Linked DNA regions of Callithrix jacchus. The protein of the gene in region 4 binds, or shares a complex with, the protein of the main gene of each other region. Links are inferred from orthologs where the notes say so. Each region holds a gene or a part of one and is shown on either strand. Other genes may lie near its edges.

Region 1 (4,224 bases), on a different chromosome or scaffold from region 4:
ACAAGTCCACTCTGAGAGACACCTTCTGGTCACTCGTTTTGATTCAAAGGAAACAAAGGAAGCAGGGGTTGTGCACTGCACGACAGTTGTCTCAAGTCTGCGCGAAGACGGGAATCCCAGGGGCACCGTTGGCACTGGGAAAAGCAGACTCTTCCGCCTCTGCGGACCAGCAGATTAGTGCATCAGGACGGGCGAGAAGGAAGCAATGAAAGAAAAGAAAGGATAAAAACGGGGAGAAAAAAGTGAATATTTCAAGGGCCAGAGGGCGAGAGAGATGGAGCAAATTCCCGAACCTCAAGTCCAAGTTCTAGGAGTTGGGTGATCGGGTGGAGCCCCTAGTGGGCGCGGCGGCTGTGTGTACAGTTTATCAATTTTTTTTATTTTTTGGATTTTCTACCTTGAATAGCTAAGGATTAAACATCCATCGCAAAGATTTAGGGCACAGAGGAGAGAAGAGGCAATTGCTGAGATCAAACTGATGCTAAGGGCAAAGTCTGGGCCAATGTCGCTTTTCACAAACTCTCTGAATTTCCTGGTCTCTCATGCCCCGTCGCTGGGTCTCCTTTGCACAAAGCGCCCTGCCCTGGTGCGGGAAATGGGGAGGGGACCAGGTCCGCAAGCCGCGGGCAGAGAAGCTGAGAAAGAGAAGTAGCAAGTTATCTTAGGTGTTGATTCCCTAGGGTTGGTCCAAGCATAGTGAATGGGGCGGATCCTGTAACCCCCGCACTGGCCGGCTACTCCTCCATCATCATTGGCGGCAGAACTTACACTTAAAGATCTTCTTAAACGCGTTTTGAAAGTCCTTGTTGAAGTATGCGTAAATGACGGGGTTAAGCAGAGAGTTGGAGTAGCCCAGCCAATTGATTATAGCGCCCAACAGGGTGGGCATGTGGCAACTGCTCTCACAGAAAGGCAGAACAAGAGCCACGATGAAGAAGGGCAGCCAGCAGAGGATGAAAGTACCCATGATAATGCCCAGCGTCTTCACTGTCTTCCTCTCTCGGGCCAGGGCCATCTTGCGCTTCGCCTCGGCGTTGCGCTCATTTTTCCTCTCGAAAGAGGCGGGGGCACAAGGGGTAGCACCAGCCTCGCTGGGCAGAGGCAAGTGCTCTTTGGTGTTGCCCACCCGGTGCACCTCGATCACCTCCAGGGCGGCGCCGTCGTCACCTTGCCTCACCGCGCCATTGGCGCACAGAGCACTCTCTGACTTGCTCTCCACGCTCAGTCTCCAGTTCCTGCTCCCCGATTCTCCATTCACGCTCTTCTTGGGCTGCGGGGCCGGAGATGCTCCACGGCGGGTGTCCGCTCCGGTCTTCTCCACCTTTTTCACTGTCTTGCGAATGCGGAAGCGCGCAGCTCGGAATATGCGCCCATAGAGAACCAGCATGAGCAGCAGCGGGATGTAGAAAGCGCCGAAGGTGGAGTAGATAGTGTAGCCGTGGTCCTTGCTAATGGTGCATGCGTCGGGGTCCGAGCGGTCTTCCGGGGTGCGCCAGCCCAGCATGGGCGGGATGGAGATGAGGAAGCCAATAAGCCAAGTGAGCGAGATGAGCGCAGCAGCGCGCCGGGGCGTCCTCTTGTTCACGTAGTCGATGGGGTCCGTGATGGCCCAGTACCTGTCCAGCGCGATGGCGCACAGGTGCAGGATGGATGAGGTACAGCACAGCACGTCGAGGGCTATGAACAGGTCGCAGGTGACCTGGCCCAGAGTCCACTTGTTGAGCACCTGATACAGCGCGGCCATGGGCAGCACCAACACCGACACCATGAGGTCGGTGACCGCCAAAGAGCCAATAAGATAATTGGCCACGTTCTGCAGGGAGCGCTCCAGGGCGATGGCAGCCACCACGCAGGCATTGCCCAGCACCGCACAGAAGATGAGCGTGCCCAACAGCAGAGAGGTGATCACTTGGTAGCCGAAGGTCACGTCGGAGATACCAGTAGTGTTGCTGGCGGTCTCAAAGGGACCCGGGGATGATGTGGTATTGTTGCCCTGACCAGGGCTGAGCACATCCATGCCTGTGAGCCCCGCGCGGGAAAGAGGAAGGAAGAAAAAGCAGAGCGAAGATCCCTTTCGCCCCTTCCCCTGGGGTCTTCCGCCCAGTCTCCAAGGAAGTTTCGGAGGAAGGGAATCCAAGGACCCAAGCAGGAAGTTCTTACTGTTCCGGCGAAGGTATCCCGGAGGAGCAGCTTTCAGGCGCTCCCTGGGCTCGCGCAGTCCAAGGCGTTCAGAGGCTCTAGCTGGGAAACTGGAGTTGGCCTGAAAGCAGCTCCGGGATCTCTGGGGGGTGGAGAGGTGGCTGGAACGTCTGTCTGTCGCTGTCCATTTTACTTTGCCGCTTCCCAACTGGCTGCCGGAGCTGGAGTCTTCCCACGAGTAAATAGTCTCCAATCCCAGAAATATCTAGAACCGAGAAGCCCCATCCTCCACGGTCACTGAGTGACCCTCCTCTCCCTATTTCCTTCCTTCCCTTTCTCCCCCTCTCCTTCTCCCTCCTCCTCTTTCTTCTCTCTCTTCAGCCTCTTTCTTTCCCCTTTTCCCCACTTGCCTTCCTTTCAGTCTGCCTCTTCCTCCTCACCCCACATTATTTATCCCCCTGTGAGTCGCTTCGAAAGCCAGGCTCCCTCCCTCCCACTCTAACCCTCCCCTCCTAACACTTCCCGAACCCCAAGGAGTGCCTCTTTTCTGTGGGTCCCCGCCCTCCTATACCTCTAGCTCTGCGTCTTTGCATTCAAGTCCCTTTTTGTCAAAAGAGACTCAGAACTCACTTGCACACACCGGATCCCTGCCGGTCAGACCAAGGCTGTAACAAATAAACTCCGCCTCCAACCCAAACTGGGGAGGGGGTATTTAGAAGAGGAAATTCTAACTACTCATTGCCACGTATTATCTGTCAAATTCTTAAATAGTGTCAGCAGCCCAGAGTGACAATAGGAGATGAGATAGGGAAGCACAGGGTGCCTGAATGGGAAGGTGAACAGTCCTGGGTCAGTCTCTCAATTATTGCTAATTGATGGAAGAAGACAGAGAGAGTGTGTCTTCGTTTTTAAAAAGCTACCTCCGTTCTCGCGCCACTGCACTCCAGCCTGGGTGACAGAGCGAGACTCCGTCTCAAAGCAAACAAACAAACAAACACGAAAGTACCTCAGTTTATCATCTAACAGTCCAGCCTGACTCCCTCAGGAGGATATTGCCTGTGACATTTTTTTTTAACCTTGGGGAGCTGGGAGAGAATGAAATTATAAAGGACGTGGCAAAGGACAAGGGACAAGGAGGGGTAAACAACTGCATGTCTAAATAAAGAACAAAACTCAATGTGATATGTATTCTACACACACACACACACTTTTCCATCACTACTACACTTTCAATTTCAGTGACACCATGGGAACATAGCTATGGGAACATACCTTTGTGGCTAGCAAATTCAGAGATGGAAATATTTTGCATATGTGTTCTGAGTGAAGTCTGGCATTTTATATGGCCTTTTGCACTTCTTACCAGAGCCTGCAAACCGCTGGGGGAAACTTGCTGAATCTCTGTTCGCTAACCGCCTAGCCTCTGTTAACCACAGAAACTGAGTTCAGCACCTGGGACAGCTCTAAGCAATGAGGGTTTATGACGCCACCTTCCGGCAAATGTTTTAGAGTGCCACCTAGAAACCCTTATGCAGAAATTAAGCAAGTATTGAGGAAATCCAACAACTTCTAGAAAGAGAAGACGGTTATTAAAAGGCAAGGTAGCACTGAGTTTTATCTTTTTCCTATTTACTTTAAAAATTTATTTTAGTGTCCTCCTTTGCTCTGAACCTTATATATCAAGCCTATTATATGTTGTAGCTCCCTTTAAAGCCTGAAACGTCTGTCATTCACAAGTCCTATCTGGGAATGCCATTGTAATAAAGCTAGACAAAAACCTTCACACGTGTTGGTTTTGTGCTGCCATAATCTGAACTTTGGAACTGACACATTTACGTAAATTTACCTTTTGTTGCAGAAAATAATAGTATTTCATCTTCCATTCCCAAATGTTAAATAATTGTAAATAAGGATATTTACATGGGTTTTTTCTAAGCTGTTTCCTTAAACAAGAAAAACAAATTTAATCTCATTTGAGCAGGAAAGAATGGGACTTTTAAGCAACTACATTAAACACACAATACAACATTTCACTTATACATCCTGATTACATGCCTAAAATGAAAGGAAAGTGCAGAATGCAAT
Region 2 (4,153 bases), on a different chromosome or scaffold from region 4:
TCCTGTTCATCTATCTTTGGGAGAGTGGGGGAGGGGGATATTAGGTGCCTAATACAGTGTGGCACTGGTCTCAAGTGTCTATAACTCTGAGACTCCTTGGAACACAATCTTCAAGAGCCTGTGGCAGTGGGGTCTGGGCTACAGAAAACCAACTTCTTTTCATGGGATCCTGCCTAACCACTTGAGAGGAAATGGGGGCTTTACCTGCACTTCTTGGTAACAGGGACCCTGAGAGCAATGGGAAATGTGTAGACTGGAAGTGGAAAGTGGATTATAGCTCGAAATTCCTCTTAAGGAGTGGGGTATTTAATTCAATGTCAGAATTGTAGAGGTTTGTGTATTCAAGAATGCCCTAGGCAAAGATCATGGTCACCTTGACTTCTTCTACTGGGTGCTTTCTAGGGAACATTCTTAAGAATGTTCACTTTGGTAAGTGAACACAAGTGAGAGGCTGTGAGAAAGGATCACCCTAAGGTTGTAGTGGTCCACTGTCTATGGAAGTAACTCCAGGGATCCTAGCTTCAGCGAACGACTCCATAGACAAATAGGCTGTGTGTTATCACGAACTCAAAGCTTAGTGCAACCACAGAAGACAATGCACTGTGGCCCTAGAAATAGAAAGGAGAATTTATTTTCCTAAGTGTGAAGCTTTGCAGGCTCTACATACAGCCTGTAATGTAGCCCTGCATCAACAGGGGTGGGCGGGGGGAGGAGAGAATGAAAGCAAAAGAGCATGCTGGCTGCCCCCTAGATAACGGAAAGGTTCAGTGTAAATAGAGAGGGCTTGGATAATTCACTCTGACATCTTACTACTATGTTTTTCAACATGATAGTGGTTAGATATTCCTAATAATTTTTTTCCTTTTATTTTCATAATTTTCCTTTTGGCTTTCTATTATTTTGTATTATTTTTACTTTTATTTATTTTCTTCCTTCCCTCCATCTCTCCTGCCTCCCTCCTTTCCTTTCCTTTCCTTTCCTTTCCTTTCCTTTCCTTTCCTTTCCTTTCCTTTCCTTTCCTTTCCTTTCCTTTCCTTTCCTTTCCTTTCCTTTCCTTTCCTTTCCTTTCCTTTCCTTTCCTTTCCTTTCCTTTCCTTTCTTTCTTTCTTTCTTTCTTTCTTTCTTTCTCTTTCTTTCTTTCTTTCTTTCTTTCTTTCTTTCTTTCTTTCTTTCTTTCTTTTCTTTCTTTCTTTCTTTCTTTCCTTTTTTCCTTTCCCCTTTCCCCTTTCCCCTTTCCTTTCCCTTTCCCTTTCCCTTTCCCTTTCTTTTTCTCTCCTTTCCTCTTTTCTTTTTCTTTCTCTTTTTCTTCCTCCTTCTTTTTTTTCTCTTTTGCTAGTGAAGAAGAATTGGATTGGTCATTTTCAGAACAGGGAGCCTACATTGATGCACAGATCAGCAGCATCCTTGTTGGAGTGGCTGTCACATGAATTCTTTGGAGATCTCTGAAGAAAACAGAAAGAAACTGAAATGGTAGGTTCTAAATATTTATGCACCATTAGCTCTCATCTGTGCATTTTTCCCTTAATATCTAGAACTGGACTCTTCACGCAATATCTGTACAGCTTGTCAAGTCGAAGGACATTTATGGATATAATGAACTTGTACCATCCTTAAATGTTATTTTTTTTCTGGTATTTGCACAAACAAAAATAATTGTGTGGTGGGCTGCCAGAGGAGGGAGGCAACTTTAAACTTGGGAAAATATGTTTGACATGGAGAGATTTTTAGTAATGTGATTAGCTCAATTGATACTCAATAAAACATTCCTGTGAACATTTGCAATTTAACCTGTTTTATATTAAGTAGAGTTGCTTACATAAAGATGCAGGATAATTTTTATCTACTTGTTGCTATTACTCTTCGGGAGTGCTATGTTTATCTTCTGCATAACTAAACTGGTTAACTTTGTGTGCTTTTCAAAATGAGCTATTATTTAAAAAATGAAAGCAATAATATTTCAGGACCTAACATATATGCATGTTCCTATAAGCTTATGTAAGCTACTTATTTTCACTGTAAAAGTTAAAAGTTAATTGTTGTAATTAATGATAGATGTAAACATTCTGTTTTCAAACACATTTAAGAAAACTTGTTTATAATGAGAGAAAGGGAAAATAAGAAATATAACAGTCATAGTTGGTCTGTTTTTCATAGATAAGCTCTACCTACTATAGTAAGTAATCAGCATATTAAAAAATCAACAATGGTTAAAATGATTTTGAATTTAATTTGCATTTCTTGATACTCAAAATGGACTTATTTTGACAAAATGTAAGTGCAATTATTTCCTTGTTTGCCTGTCGTTTCTTTTTTGTGCTCCAAGAGAAAATGTTTAGGATGGTGCCTTTTGACTTTAAATCATATAATGACACTATCAATCATGTGTAACTGCTAGGAGCTGCATTCAGAGACTAAAAGAAACAAAGTCATGAATTCCTGCTTGAAAGAGAGATGGAAATGAGGAGGGATGTGGTACAACATGACCCAATATTAAATCTCAAATAACTTTCCTGCTCCTTCCTCCTGTCAACAGTAATATATACAAACTTCATTTTATACTGTTCTAAATTTTCCATAAAAGAAAAAGTGATAATTTTATTCAATAAGCAGAAGTATATGCTTTAGAGAGCTTTGGGTCATTCAGCAAGGAGTATTTTATTTTTCTTTTAGCTTCTGTATATATCAGGTATAAAAACAAAAAAATATTGAACTTTTAGAGAGGATTAAAGTTCTTCCACTCAGGGCAAGATTATACCAGTCACACTGGCAAACATTTGAATATGCCAAAAAGTTTGTATCCAAGGAAGATATACTTTTAGTTACAGATAATGTGCTTTGCACTTGTGAATACATGTACTGCTCTGCTTTGCTATATGTTTGTAATAATATTTTTATGAGACAGGAACCACCTAGTGTATCTATTTTGTTGGGGCCAGTTTAATATTATGCTGAATAATGTAAAGATTAATAAACACAAAGTGGGTAATAAATTGCTCCAAATATCTCACTGAATTTCACCTGAAGAGCCCTAGGAATGAATGCATTTCATGATCCCCCTTTGTGCTAGGTAACCGAAATGAAGAAGACAAAAAAGCATACCTTCTGCATTCCACTCATAGATACTTTTGGCACCAATCAGCTACACAGAATCAGAAAGGGAAGTAAACTCCTTTTCCTGATCTCTCTCCAATCCTGATAAAAGGGGGGCACAGAAGGTTCCCCTTCCACTGCCCATTACATTGATCCCCCTAAAGTCTTCTTTCTATGCTATAGGTCTCAAGGATCAGTCTCTAGATCCCAAGTCCGAGAATAAGAAATTATCAGAAACAGTTTCAACTCTTGTCACTTCAGAGCAATGGCAAACATCTAAGATTTTTATACTTCGGGAAATAAAGTAGTTTCATAGCATACATCGTGCAGTTGGAAAAATTGAGACTCACAGCAGTGAAGTGACTGGGTCAAGTACCTCTGTGTGTGACAGAGACAAAGGTAGAATTCAGGCTTTTTCATACCTTGTCCAGTGCTCTGTTCATTTTTCCTTGCTGACTATCAAGGTTTGTGGATTAAAAGACATGCATTATTCATTGGGAAACACTAAAAGATTTCATGTTGAGAGCATTCAAGAATCTCTCAATAGCAGGGCACACTTCAGGCTTCTCCTAAGGGCCCTAATACTGTAACAAGCCTTGAGTTTCTGAGCTTTACCACTGGTTCCTTCCAAGAATAGGAAAGAGTTTTTCCTACTGTGCTTATAAAAAAAAAACCCCAAATGCAAATTGATACTACATGCTGTAATACAAGATTAACACAGACCAGGACATATATTGGATGCTTATGTGCTGTATTGAATATCAGAGCAACATTATGGCCAATTCATTAGACAAGAGGGAGTATTTAGTAGGTCCTGAGGTCTAGAAGATTCCAGATTTGAGAAAGGAGTCAAGATTTTAGGGTTTCTGTCTGACATAAACAGGCATATGTGGTCAATCAACTAAGGTTAGAGTGTGTGGAAGATAAATATGTACGGTTACTGGTAGTATGTGAATCCTGAAAAGGATACAGTAATTAGTGGATTGGCTATTACTGTTTGTCATATAACTAAGTGCTAGCTGATATTTGAAAATTAAAGTGGGTTCTTCTGGTATAGTCTTTG
Region 3 (3,980 bases), on a different chromosome or scaffold from region 4:
CTCCTCCCGGTTGCCACCAAGCTATCTCACCTCCCCCTTTTCCTCCTCTGTGGGCTCCTGCTCCCCCGCCTTCCCCCGGCGGCCCCAGAGGACCAGCCAGCTCCGGTCTGCTCATTAGGGATGAAATGTGATCACCACTCCTCGCTCCCCACCTGGTGTCTTGGCGGCCAGCGGAAACCAGGGGGCAGCCGGGCCACCCTAGCCGCCCCACTGCACCTCAGTTTCCCCATTTCAACCGAGGGGGTCTCTGTGCCCCCCACACCCACACTGCCCATCAGGGATACCAGTCCTTAGACTGCCTCTCTGACATCCTGGGTCCCCACGGTTCTGCGATCTTCAGGTTCTATCCTTAGTTCACTCTGCAGTTGAATGTTCTATTAGAACATCCTAGAGTGTTACTCTTCTTTCATTCTATTTATTACATCGCGGCTTTGGAAGCACCTACCCTTCTAAGTTTCCAATATTCTAGAAGTCTCACATTCCAAGATTCGAAAGTTCTATTGTTAGAATGCGCTATGATTTTTTAAGCGTTCTATGACTTTCATCATCTATTATTAAACCCTCAGTGATTTTTATCTTTCCCCGGGAAACAGTAATACGTATTTCCCTTTTCTCTTTTACAGAAATGGGAACGTACACTAAATACGGTGAGCCCCACTTCCTTTTCCTCCCCCCGCTTTTTCTTGTATGCTTTTGAACATTCCAGCAGCTGATTTCTGAGACTGTGCAGAATTCTAAGAAACTGTGGCTTCACAGAGGGAAGAGAAGGGCGTGTTAGTTACCACCTCCACCTGGCCCCTAAATTCTAACCACCTGCAGGGGACAGGAAGCATCCAGGCCCCTCTCTACCCTTTCCCTAGTGGGCCTAGCCTCAGCCCTCCCCGCTCACACCAGCTGAGTTATTATTTGTCTAGACACAAACCAAATTATAGGCCCTGTCCCCGAGGGAACGGTGGGCTCCAGGCGGAGGGTCAGGAGACTGAGGCTGGAGTTAAACCCGCTTCCCCTCCACCTCCCTCCCTCTCTTCCCAAAACTCCACCCCTTCCACCCAAACCAACTCTTGCCCCGCTCCCTCCCCACCATGGTTTTAGAAATATTTTCTCTCCTCTGCTTCTAAAACCCTCCCTTTTGGATTCCAGCCATTTGTACTCACCCTGGCGTCTCTCCCTCCTCATTGAGACCTCTTTCCCAAAATTGATCGACTTAGTGGTAGCAGAAGAAGCCAGCTCTCTGGATTTGGGCCTCAGTTGAAACCTGGAGTCCCAACCCTCCAGCCTGGCACTGACTCACCATGGAGACGTCTGCTCTTGGGCCTCAGTTTCCCCATCTATAAAATGGGAGCAGGGTGGGGGGTTGTTGGCCTAGATGGCTCCACAAACCCTTTCCAGCTCTCAGCTGCCAGCACTGAAAAGTGCCAAGATTTCAGCACTCCTCTTTTTGGATTGAAGGACTGCAGTATCCCGAGGACCTTTGACTGGAAGGATCTGGAATTCCCAGGCCTCCCCTCTGATCTTTCTTCCATCTGGGCCCTTTCATTCAAAGATGCTCGCGTTCAAGGTTCTTGATCCTATGATTTCCCAGAGTTCCAGGAGCCCCCATGGGTCGCTCATCCTCTTCTGCTGGGATTCCCCCAGAGAAGAAAACCTCCCCATCCTCACCCAAACCCGAAGTCAAGTTCATCTACAGAGACAGAGCTGGGGGTGGTTGCCTTCTTGATGGGTTCAGGAGGAGGAGGGCTGATGGTGGGCTTTGGAGGGGCTATTGGGGGGTGTGGCCCCATCCTCTTAATTTCTGCGCCAAATTCCCCAATGCGTATCCAGCCCGAGCACGCACACACACATCCCACAACTGATGTGTCACAGATATTCTAGAGCTGTTCCTCAGCCTAGTTTGGGAGGGCAGGTTGTCCAGTTCCAGGGGGGAAGAGTAAGGCGGAAGCAGGAAAGAGTTAACGGTGACCCAGCCAAATCCTGGAAGAGAGGAAGTAGGGGAGGAAGTCCACCCCCCAGCCAGGAATTCCTGAAATTGGCAGGCGGGGTGAGTGCAACCTCAGGGGCAGTGGGGTGGCTCCATGATGGGGGCCATGGGGTCAGAGTCCGCCTGCCGCAGGTCACAAGCCTCCTGTCCCCTAAGTTCGACTCCCAAGCAACTTCCCAGCCCAGAGGAAAATTCCGGGATGCCAGAGGTTTTGGAAGGAGAAACGACAGACTTGAAGGTGCCAAAACAGGGTTATAAGAGACGGAGAGACAGAGTCAGGGCAATAGAGAGAGACAGAGAAACAGGCAGGGAGAGAGCAAAGAGACACACAGAGACAGGGAGAGATGGATTCAGAGGCAGAGAGATCCACAGAGGTCCCACAACAGACGGGGGACAGGCAGAGGCAGGGGCGGGGGAGGTGGCACCCAGAAACAGAGACAGAGACAGACGGAGACAGAGACGCAGAGATCAAGAGATAGACAGAGACATCCCAGAGACACAGAAGGAGAGACAGGTCCAGAGGCAGAGGGACCACAGACACAGAGACCTCAGAGACCTCAGGCGTGACCTGGAGACCCGCAGAACCGAACCGAGCAGAGCAACAGAGGGGGCGGGCACCGAGACGGCGCAGGAGACTGAGGCAGCCCCCGAAGGGGCGGGAAGGAGCGGTCCCGTCACGAGCAGGGCAACCTAGTGAGACCCGGCGGCACCGCGGGCGGCCGGGGAGGGCCCGGCTCTTACCTGCGCACGGCGGCTGGACGGGGCGGGCGGCAGCGCCTCTCAGCTGCGTCCTAGTCCGGGCTCGACGGCGGCGCAGGGACCCAGCGGATGCCCCTTTGGGGCAGAACAGCGGCGACTCCTCCCGGCCCCCAGGCTCCAGCCGCCAGCCGAGGCCCCGCCCCGCCCAGGCCCGCCCCCATTAACCCCACCTCTGCCGCTGCCCCTTAAGCCCTTTCGGGCTTCACCCCACTCAACGCCTCCAGCCCCGGGGGAAGCTCATCTGCTGCTGGAACACCCCCCCCCAATCCTTCCAAGTCCCCCAGCGGGAAGGTCCCCTCTCTCTAACCACACCCCAACTTTAACAAGCCCTGAGATATGGGAAGAGGAACCCCCCCCCCCCGCCCCTCCGCTACTGGCCTTCCCTGGATTAAGCCCTTTCCTCCCTTAGAGACCCCAGGCCTCCGTCATTCATCTTCTGGTCCTTAACCTTCTGCATCATCCCCACCAAGGGAGAGAATAAAGAGTTCTGTTAGGTCCCCAACTCCAAAGTCAGGGCCACCCCTAGAAGGAGCTCTGGGGTTGCGGTTACAGCCTGTCTCTTGGTCAGACCTTAGGCTAGGGACATCCCCGTGCCTGTTTCCTCTTTGAATCAAGGTGGTCACTCATGGTGACTGCTTGCTTTTTCCTTTCTTCTCTTTCTTTCTTCCCTCCCTCCCTCCCTCCCTACCTCCCTCCCTCCCTCCCTCCCTCCCTTCCTTCCTTCCTTCCTTCCTTCCTTTTTTTCCCGAGTTTTGCTCTTGTTGCCCAGGCTGGAGTACAATGCCGTGATCTCACCTCCCAGGTTCAAGTGATTCTCCTGCCTCAGCCTCCTAAGTAGCTGGGATTACAGGTGCCCACCACCATGCCCAGCTAATTTTTGTATTTTTAGTAAAGATGGGGTTTCACCTTGTTGACCAGGATGGTCTTGATCTCTTGACCTCGTGATCCACCCACCTTGGCCTCCCAAAGTGCTGGGATTATAGACATGAGCCACCACACCCGGCCTAATTTTTTTTTTTCTTTTTTTTGAGACGGAGTTTCACGCTTGTTACCCAGGCCGGAGTGTAATGGCGCGATCTCGGCTCACGGCAACCTCCGCCTCCTGGGTTCAGGCAATTCTCCTGCCTCAGCCTCCTGAGTAGCTGGGATTACAGGCACACGCCACCATGCCCAGCTAATTTTTTTTATATTTTTTAGTAGAGATGGAGTTTCATCGGGTTGGCCAGGCTGGTCTCAAACTCCT
Region 4 (3,500 bases):
AATAATTGATGTTAGACTGTAATACCAAGGCCAGAAATTCTTAAATTTAGAAATGAGCTTCGTTCGATTCTGCACATACAAAGCAGACAGTCCCACAGAGCGGTGAGGACTTGGTCCCTTTCACTTTATGGTGGTTGCTTTAAGAGTGTGGGGGCCCGAATCAGATTTCAGATTTGTGCACAAGGTCCGAAGCTCACCTCTCCCTGTCATCTGTGCTTCTGAGGTTCTCTGGACCTGTACCACTTTTACTTAAATGGCCCTGAGGGGATTCCTGGCACCATCTGTTCTGCCTCCCTTCCCCAGACACCCACCTCCACTAATGAGCATGGCCCCTCTGAACTCTGCCAGCTCTTCAGTGTAGAAGAACAGTGGCTCGGAGACCTGTGAAGCCTCCCTCAAATAAGTACGCAGACGTTAATTCAGAAGGAAATTCGGGAGTAGAGTTCTTTGAGAAAGGGAAGACCACATTATTTATGGAAGGCCTGTGGGCAGGCTTGCACTTGACCCCACCATCCATCCCCTCCCCTCCTTCCCCACTGACCGCCCTGCCCTGCTCGTTCACTGTTTCTAATTAACCTCCCTCCTCCTCTTCTCTACCTTGACTTTGTCATGTTCTAGTCTGGAGGGAATTATATGTTTAATTTCTACCTCCATTCTATGAATTGGCGCATCAGCCAAGTGAATGCTTCAAAAACTGGGAATCTCAAAAGATTAAAAAAAAAAAAATACAGTGAAAAAGATAAACTTTATTCCCTGTATCTCCCACCCCCATCAGTTTCTGCCTCTGCAAATCAAGGCTTCCCCCCCCCCCCCCCGCCCCGCGCCTCATTTTCCCCATCAGAGAGGCAGGACCATAGCACTTTCCTTCTGTACAACAATGCTCTCACCTCCCAGGGCCTAACAGGTACAGCAGGTGTGCTGGGTGTGCTGCACATTTTTGGGCTGTAGACCTGGTGAGACACTCCGAGAGGCCCTTTCTTGCCCCCCCTAAAAACACAAACTCCAGAACCTTCCCTGGCTGTGCTTATATTAGAAGGCTAGTTTCTGAAAGACATACGGCATTTGGATCAGTGTAATCTGGTACAAAAATTAACATTAGGGTCCCCAGAAGCCAGAGGGTGTGGCCTTTACCTGTAGGACCAGTGACCCTGAATATAGATCATTCCGTAAAGACCACACAGGCCATCCCATTTGTCCGAGATAAAGTCAAGGAAAAGCTACAAAACCTTCAACCTCTACTTACCAGAGGGATCTGGCCCCTTCCCCCATAGAGTATAAGAACATCTAGGGGGTGGAATCTTATTTGATACCTATGCACATGGACCAACATGCACTAATATCATAAACTAGAAAGTTCATTGCTGCTAGTTGAGCGCCCGGAGCAGCACACCTGTGACTTGCTGCCAAGCCCTGAGACCTGTAATGAACCATTTTTTTCTTTGAGATGGAGTCTCAGTCTTTCGCCTGGGTTGCGGTGGTGCAATCTCTGCTTACTGCAACCTCCACCTCACAGGTTCAGGTGATTCTCCTGCCTCAGTTTACCCAGTAGCTAGGATTACAGGCACGTGCCACTACATCCAGCTAATTTTTTATATTTTTAGTAGAGATGGGGTTTCACCATGTTGGCCAGGCTGGTCTGGAACTGCTGACCTCGTGATTCACCTGCCTCAGCTTCCCAGAGTGCTGGGATTGCAAGCATGAGCCATGGCACCTGGCCCTTTTTTTATTTCTCCCAGACGGTCTTGCTCTGTCATCCAGGCTGGAGTGCAGTGGCATGATCTAGGCTCACTGCAACCTCCACCTCCCTGGTTTAAGCAATTCCCCTCCCTCAGCCTCCCGCACCCTGTAGCTGGGATTAGAGGTGCATGCCACCAAACCTGCTAATTTTTTTGTATTTTTAGTAGAGATGGGGTTTCACCATGTTGGCCAGACTGGTCTCAAACTCCACACCTCAGACAATCTGCCCTATAGGCGTGAGTCACCGAGTGCCCAGGCCCCTGTATTGAACTATTACTAACACCAGTACCTGTGCTCACTGGTTCTCTCAGTATGCTAATCTAGCAACTGAGTGAATTTTACATCAAAATAGGGGACTGTTTTGCTCCACTGCAAACTCTTAGTGACCTGTCATTTCAGCCTCACCCCTACCCAGATGCTGACAGGGTCAGAAGTGTTAGTATGTAGTATGGGGCTTCAAGCCCATGGGACCACCTGAAAGAGTCGGTGACCTGTGTGCAACTTTTGGTACAGTCATGATTGCTAAGGCAGTTTGCTCATCTGTCCCATTGGGCATGTCCTCCGGACACATTTGGGAGGTTACAATTTGCAGCCATGTCTATTGAGCTACCTCCAATCTTTGCACAGATCTGAACCCACAACTCCTTGAAGAACAGAATACTATGCTTTGTAGTCGGAATATCTTTATGCAAGCAATACTCTCAATTGACACGATGCAATATGATTTTCTTCTTTTTTCAATCCCACTGCAGTGAGAAGGCAACCAAAGTGCAGGACATCAAAAACAACCTGAAAGAGGCAATCGAAGTACGTGCTGGCTCCTTGCACTTTCTGTCTTACAGCCCCTCCCAGCCAGTACTGCTCCCTGACCACTTTGCTCAATCCTTTTCAGACCATTGTGGCCGCCATGAGCAACCTGGTACCCCCTGTGGAGCTGGCCAACCCTGAGAACCAGTTCAGAGTGGACTACATTCTGAGTGTGATGAACGTGCCTGACTTCGACTTCCCTCCTGTAAGCTACACCCCGACTTATGTGGCCTGAGATCCACTCACCTGAGCATAGTGTTCCTCTAAGAACATCAGTGACAGCCCTGCACATGGGCAAAAGTGTTCAAACCACACCTCAGGCAAAACACATTTCAGTGACATCCATCACAAATAAACATCACTCTTTAATATTACAATCTCATTTTATTAGATTGTAAATGTTTAGGAGGAAAATAGTTCCTGAGCTACGGTAGGCTTAATTATTCACATCTTAGGACAAACAAACCTGTATGTTAAATACGGTGCACAAATACTAATTGTCCATTTACTCCACTGGAAGTGCCCTAAGTTCCCTTGGGATGCCTCAGTGAAGTGCCAAATGGGAGACATTCTCATTTTAAACAGGTGACCTTTTCATATTTATTAAGAGTTTCCTAAAGTCAGTCCTGGTCTTTGGGCAAATGAAATCTTTTCTCATTATTAAAAAAATGTTTAAATATATCTAAATTGTAATTCAAAAATACATCATAAAATAGAACACATGGAAAAGACTTTCCTCTGGATGCATGACACCATTGGCTCCCTAAAGAACTATTTTTAGGGAACAAAAAAAACCGTTCAAGCCCAAACATATACGTCTAGGCCCCTTCTTGGGGAGAGTGGCTTATAAGCAGGGAACTGGAAAGATGGATGCGTTTGTAAGGCCCACAAGGAAGAGACTTGTCTACAGCGAAAACAATGAGTTACTGTTTCCTTTTGTCAGGCTTTCGTGGGAA
Region 5 (4,098 bases), on a different chromosome or scaffold from region 4:
TTTTGAGATATGTTCCATCCTAGTTTATTGAGAATTTTTAGCATTAAGGGGTGTTGAATTTTATCAAAGGCGTTTTCTGCATCTATCTCAATTTTTTTACTTTTTAATAATAACCATTCTGACTGGTGTGAGATAGTATTTCATTGTGGTTTTGGTTTGCAATTTTTAAATAGTGTTAAGTATAATAATAACCTATTTCAGTCCTGGTTTCACAACTCTGTAATTATAGGCAAGTTATACTTACTATTTCTAGTATCTGCTTTCTTCCTTTGGAAAATGATAATGATGATACCAACTTCATATAGTTTTAAGGTTTTTATAAAGGAACAGTATATAAAGCACATAGCACAGTGCTTAGCATATAGAAAACACTCAACAAACATTTTCCATTTTTATCTTCATTTTCCTGCTGTATTTTAATTCTGAAATAATTTATAAATTATTTGAAAATCACTTTAAGAAAAGTGCTAATCCCATAAGAAATATGTTTAAAATAGTGACTGTTTTCCTGTAGTAAGTCAAAATAATCAGAAATGTTTTTAATGTCCATCAAATATTTGATTTTAATTTGCATTGTTCTAATTTAGGTATGTGTAGCTCAAGCACTTAGAACAGATTTTTTTAACTATTTGACCTTTTTTTCATATTAGGATAAAAGGTGGATAAGCAATGTTTCTATTTATTCTAATTTCTATGCTCTTTTGAGATTATATTTGACCTTCAGTATTTCTCTGAATAGATTTGGGTACAGTAGTGTTAGTTCTATTGCTGTGTACAGTTAAATACATCGAACTCAGCAATTTTTTGTGGGTATGGTGGGGATTGGAGAGATTAGTAAATGATTTCTAACTTCTGTTAATTAAAATATAACTGTATTTTAGAGAGAAATTAGTAGTCATATCACTTGAGTTCATAAAGACTTGGCAGATTTTTAATAATTAATAAGTTTTTTCTGCCAAAGAGCATTAGATTACTGCTGACTTTTTAGTGTCATAGTGCCTTGTGGTAATTTCTTTACAGGGTTTACAGGAGTATGCCAGTTTATTTTTTCTGTCCTGTCCATACAAAATAATCCTTTCAAATGCTATAAGGAGAATAACTTGAGAAGTTCATAAATGCCTTAATATATTATAAAGATCGGTCAGTTCCATTGTCTTCTTTTGTCAGTCTTGATCGGAGCTTGCCGAGTAAGTCTATAAGCCTGCATGTGCCTGGCAACTGTTACCTAGTGACAGTTTCAGCTGCAGTAGCCATTGGCTGTGCTGTTGATTGGGGCAGGAGGGCCGAGTCACCTTTCTGATGGTGAGTTTTTCTGCATCAGCCCAGGATGATGATGAGGAGGAGGGCCTGGGCTCAGGTGGAGGCATTGATGCTGAGAGATTGTGAAGAATATACAGACAGCATCCTTGTAACTGCATCACAGTAAATCGGACTTCTGAATCAAGCAGCCCAGCCTAGCAGCTGATAAGAGTGAATGTAGGTGAGAAGCATTACCTTATTCCTATAACAAGAGAACTATTTTGTGATAGGTGAAACTAGGAATTTACAAGAAGAAATATCCTATGGCTATAACAAAAGAAGAAAGACTTGCCTGAATGACTTGGTGGTGCACCAGAAAATAACTTTCAGAAGAATGCTTTCTATTAAGCTGCTGCATTGTTCCTGGAGGAAATGTTTTCATTTCTAATGCATGTTATTTCTTCAAAAGATAAGATAACAAAGAATGACAAGAGACTCTCTGAAATGACTTTACTTTTAAAAAGTACTTTGACAAATGTTAACCTGATATCAGAATGACCTTGGAAGCATTTTGGATGGATTCTATCCTGCCAGCCTTGCAATATTTCAAACTCTAGGATTTAAACTCATCTTGATACTTTAGAGGTATTTTAAAATAACACTATCTTGCAACCTATCTAATGGCCCCCGTATTAATTGAGCACTTGCTCAAAATAGAATACAGAAATAGAAGAGGCATTTTTTAACATATGGCTGCTACATAACTGCAAATGTAATAAACAAGGTAATTTTCCACTTTCAGAAGATATAGTTAAAGAAATGATTTAATGTGTTAATCATCTACTGAAAATAGAAAAGATAGCAAAATAGAATATGAAGTCTGTTAGAAACACTGAAGTAATAAATAATGGCAGCATTTCTGGTCAGATAAGCTCAGAGTGTATCGGAAAGTTTTATTATTGTCTAACTTTAATATGTATTTACATATATATGTGAGAAATTGGTGTACAGTTGCAAAGGTGAGAAATAACTATGAGCTATATATTTTATCATGCTCTGTTATAAGAAAGGTGGTATATCAAATAACAAACATTATTTTAAGTTGTATGTGCAAATTAATAGCAAAAGTGATTTCTTTTCATTTTGAAAAGGAAGAGGTATAATTTAGTACCACCAGTAACTGTAATGTACTAAAACTGCTTTCATCTAAATGCTTTAAAAATGCATGCAGAATTAAAACTTCAGAAGTTTATTATATTTTGCCAGGTGTTAATTCATTAGTTCATTGTATATTATCTTTTCTATTGGAAAAATACTTTTTTCTCATGGAGTTATAGGGTAATCTGGAGTCTGTTTATTCCCCCTACTCTACCCATGTCGAGATGAATCTTTATAAATTAACTTTGATAGAGTTGTTTTTCTTAGATTTTAGAAAAATGAGAAATAGATTATAGAGTTGACCCACCAACATCAATCCCTGAACTAAGCCCAAAGACACTCTTTGCCACAATGAACTTTTTCTTAGCTTTTCAACCAAATTTGAGATCTTAATTATTTAAAGTCTAAAATACGAATGCATTTTTCATCATAGATGAAGCAGGAAACCTGAGACAGTTTAAGAGTTTTTCTTTTCTCATTCTTTCTAGTTGATCCCTAAGAAACTGCTTCTTTTAGGAGAACAAACAGCCCACAGAAGCTTTTCTTCCCTTGGCATTTTTTTTCTTTTTACAGATTTAATTTTTCATAGTGCAAGATAATAAGAAGTCTGTTTTCTCTAGAAGTGCCTTATGTCTGCAGAAAGTTCTTTGAGGGCACCAGAGGAAGCTAATTAGTGACCTCTTTTCACCTCCTTTCTAACTTACCCCCTTCTCTCTACCTCCCGCCCCCTGAAAGCTGAGGTGTGTCACTGCTGAACTGAGGCTGATGAAGAGACTTGAGCACTCTCTGGGACTCTCAGCTGTGACAGAAGCACTGATACTGTCTACTGAAGCAGGTTCTGAAACACTCATGTGCAGTGTTTAACAGGACACCTGCTTGCTGTAGCCAAGTCTGCAGGCATCTTTAATTTCCAAGCCATGAATGAATCCAGGTGGACTGAATGGAGGATCCTGAACATGAGCACTGGCATTGTGAATGTGTCCGAGCATCACTCCTGCCCACTTGGATTTGGTCACTACAGCGTGGTGGATGTCTGCATCTTTGAGACAGTGGTTATTGTGTTGCTGACATTTCTGATTATTGCTGGGAATTTAACAGTTATCTTTGTCTTTCATTGTGCTCCACTGTTACATCATTATACTACCAGCTATTTCATTCAGACAATGGCATATGCTGATCTTTTCGTTGGAGTTAGCTGCTTGGTTCCTACTCTCTCACTTCTCCACTACTCCACAGGTGTCCACGAGTCATTGACTTGCCAGGTTTTTGGATATATCATCTCAGTTCTAAAAAGTGTTTCTATGGCATGTCTTGCTTGCATCAGCGTGGATCGTTATCTTGCAATAACCAAGCCTCTTTCCTACAATCAACTGGTCACCCCTTGTCGCCTGAGAATTTGCATTATTTTGATCTGGATCTACTCCTGCCTAATTTTCTTGCCTTCCTTTTTTGGCTGGGGGAAACCTGGTTACCATGGTGACATTTTTGAATGGTGTGCCACCTCTTGGCTCACCAGTGCCTATTTTACTGGCTTTATTGTTTGTTTACTTTATGCTCCTGCTGCCTTTGTTGTCTGCTTCACTTACTTCCACATTTTCAAAATTTGCCGTCAGCACACCAAAGAGATAAATGACCGAAGAGCCCGATTCCCTAGTCATGAGGTAGATTCTTCTAGAGAGACTGGACACAGCCCTGACCGAC

What was found. The genes of interacting proteins can lie anywhere in the genome.
Region 1: the proteins of guanine nucleotide-binding protein G(s) subunit alpha isoforms XLas (region 4) and HTR1A are in contact, whole or in part, in a cryo-EM structure (PDB 9GL2), measured with the Homo sapiens proteins. The link is inferred for Callithrix jacchus from reciprocal best matches to the Homo sapiens genes GNAS and HTR1A. Residues at the interface, in NP_000507.1 of Homo sapiens: Ala39, Asp215, Lys216, Val217, Arg342, Arg347, Thr350, Ala351, Gly355, Tyr358, Phe376, Arg380, Asp381, Ile383, Gln384, Arg385, His387, Leu388, Arg389, Gln390, Tyr391, Glu392, Leu393, Leu394; in NP_000515.2 of Homo sapiens: Asn69, Ala71, Asp133, Arg134, Ala137, Ile138, Pro141, Ile142, Tyr144, Val145, Asn146, Arg148, Ile218, Ala222, Arg225, Ile226, Lys228, Thr229, Lys232, Val233, Asn325, Arg327, Asn328, Lys332, Arg339, Lys342, Thr343, Thr346, Leu347, Asn404.
Region 2: the proteins of guanine nucleotide-binding protein G(s) subunit alpha isoforms XLas (region 4) and GPR174 are in contact, whole or in part, in a cryo-EM structure (PDB 8IZB), measured with the Homo sapiens proteins. The link is inferred for Callithrix jacchus from reciprocal best matches to the Homo sapiens genes GNAS and GPR174. Residues at the interface, in NP_000507.1 of Homo sapiens: Lys34, Gln35, Arg38, Ala39, His41, Val217, Phe219, Thr350, Asp354, Gly355, Tyr358, Cys359, Tyr360, Phe376, Cys379, Arg380, Asp381, Ile383, Gln384, Arg385, His387, Leu388, Arg389, Gln390, Tyr391, Glu392, Leu393, Leu394; in NP_115942.1 of Homo sapiens: Phe44, Tyr47, Arg53, Ala54, Val55, Ile56, Phe57, Met58, Ile112, Arg115, Arg116, Phe119, Leu120, Met121, Pro123, Phe124, Phe126, His127, Asp128, Cys129, Gln131, Ser211, Leu212, Asp214, Met218, Gln220, Asp221, Leu222, Glu224, Lys225.
Region 3: the proteins of guanine nucleotide-binding protein G(s) subunit alpha isoforms XLas (region 4) and GPR4 are in contact, whole or in part, in a cryo-EM structure (PDB 8Z9O), measured with the Homo sapiens proteins. The link is inferred for Callithrix jacchus from reciprocal best matches to the Homo sapiens genes GNAS and GPR4. Residues at the interface, in NP_000507.1 of Homo sapiens: Gln31, Lys34, Gln35, Arg38, His41, Asp215, Lys216, Val217, Tyr358, Tyr360, Phe376, Arg380, Asp381, Ile383, Gln384, Arg385, His387, Leu388, Gln390, Tyr391, Glu392, Leu393, Leu394; in NP_005273.1 of Homo sapiens: Gln45, Arg49, Asn50, Leu52, Asp114, Arg115, Ala118, Val119, Ala120, His121, Pro122, Leu123, Arg124, Arg129, Arg130, Lys132, Tyr201, Ile204, Ala207, Val208, Gly210, Ser211, Val212, Ser213, Thr214, Glu218, Lys221, Ile222, Leu225, Asn290.
Region 5: the proteins of guanine nucleotide-binding protein G(s) subunit alpha isoforms XLas (region 4) and GPR52 are in contact, whole or in part, in a cryo-EM structure (PDB 8HMP), measured with the Homo sapiens proteins. The link is inferred for Callithrix jacchus from reciprocal best matches to the Homo sapiens genes GNAS and GPR52. Residues at the interface, in NP_000507.1 of Homo sapiens: Lys34, Gln35, Arg38, Ala39, His41, Lys216, Val217, Phe219, Tyr318, Pro321, Arg342, Asp343, Leu346, Arg347, Thr350, Ala351, Tyr358, Cys359, Pro361, Phe376, Cys379, Arg380, Asp381, Ile383, Gln384, Arg385, His387, Leu388, Gln390, Tyr391; in NP_005675.3 of Homo sapiens: Tyr74, Arg139, Ala142, Ile143, Thr144, Pro146, Leu147, Asn150, Gln151, Thr154, Pro155, Ile226, Phe227, Ile229, Cys230, His233, Thr234, Glu236, Ile237, Arg240, Arg243, Phe244, Ser246, His247, Tyr263, Ala264, Met265, Phe268, Arg269.

The regions. Positions count from the first base shown.
Region 1 is NC_133503.1:145,656,266-145,660,489, reverse strand, and holds the start of HTR1A (5-hydroxytryptamine receptor 1A), read right to left. Parts: upstream 2,801-4,224; 5' UTR 2,770-2,800; intron 2,564-2,769; exon of another isoform or gene 2,405-2,563; 5' UTR 2,018-2,404; coding exon 749-2,017; 3' UTR 1-748. UniProt on the Homo sapiens protein: G-protein coupled receptor for 5-hydroxytryptamine (serotonin). Also functions as a receptor for various drugs and psychoactive substances.
Region 2 is NC_133524.1:77,055,756-77,059,908, forward strand, and holds the start of GPR174 (putative G-protein coupled receptor 174), read left to right. Parts: upstream 1-1,353; 5' UTR 1,354-1,470; intron 1,471-4,153. UniProt on the Homo sapiens protein: G-protein-coupled receptor of lysophosphatidylserine (LysoPS) that plays different roles in immune response. Plays a negative role in regulatory T-cell accumulation and homeostasis.
Region 3 is NC_133523.1:39,768,748-39,772,727, forward strand, and holds the start of GPR4 (G-prodeshotein coupled receptor 4), read right to left. Parts: upstream 2,801-3,980; 5' UTR 2,720-2,800; intron 1,329-2,719; 5' UTR 1,155-1,328; intron 1-1,154. UniProt on the Homo sapiens protein: Proton-sensing G-protein coupled receptor activated by extracellular pH, which is required to monitor pH changes and generate adaptive reactions. Activated by an optimal pH of 6.8-7.2.
Region 4 is NC_133506.1:54,470,950-54,474,449, forward strand, and holds part of guanine nucleotide-binding protein G(s) subunit alpha isoforms XLas, read left to right. Parts: intron 1-2,485; coding exon 2,486-2,544; intron 2,545-2,629; coding exon 2,630-2,749; intron 2,750-3,500. UniProt on the Homo sapiens protein: Guanine nucleotide-binding proteins (G proteins) function as transducers in numerous signaling pathways controlled by G protein-coupled receptors (GPCRs).
Region 5 is NC_133519.1:28,618,049-28,622,146, reverse strand, and holds the start of GPR52 (G-protein coupled receptor 52), read left to right. Parts: upstream 1-1,298; 5' UTR 1,299-1,480; exon of another isoform or gene 1,481-2,023; intron 2,024-3,132; 5' UTR 3,133-3,314; coding exon 3,315-4,098.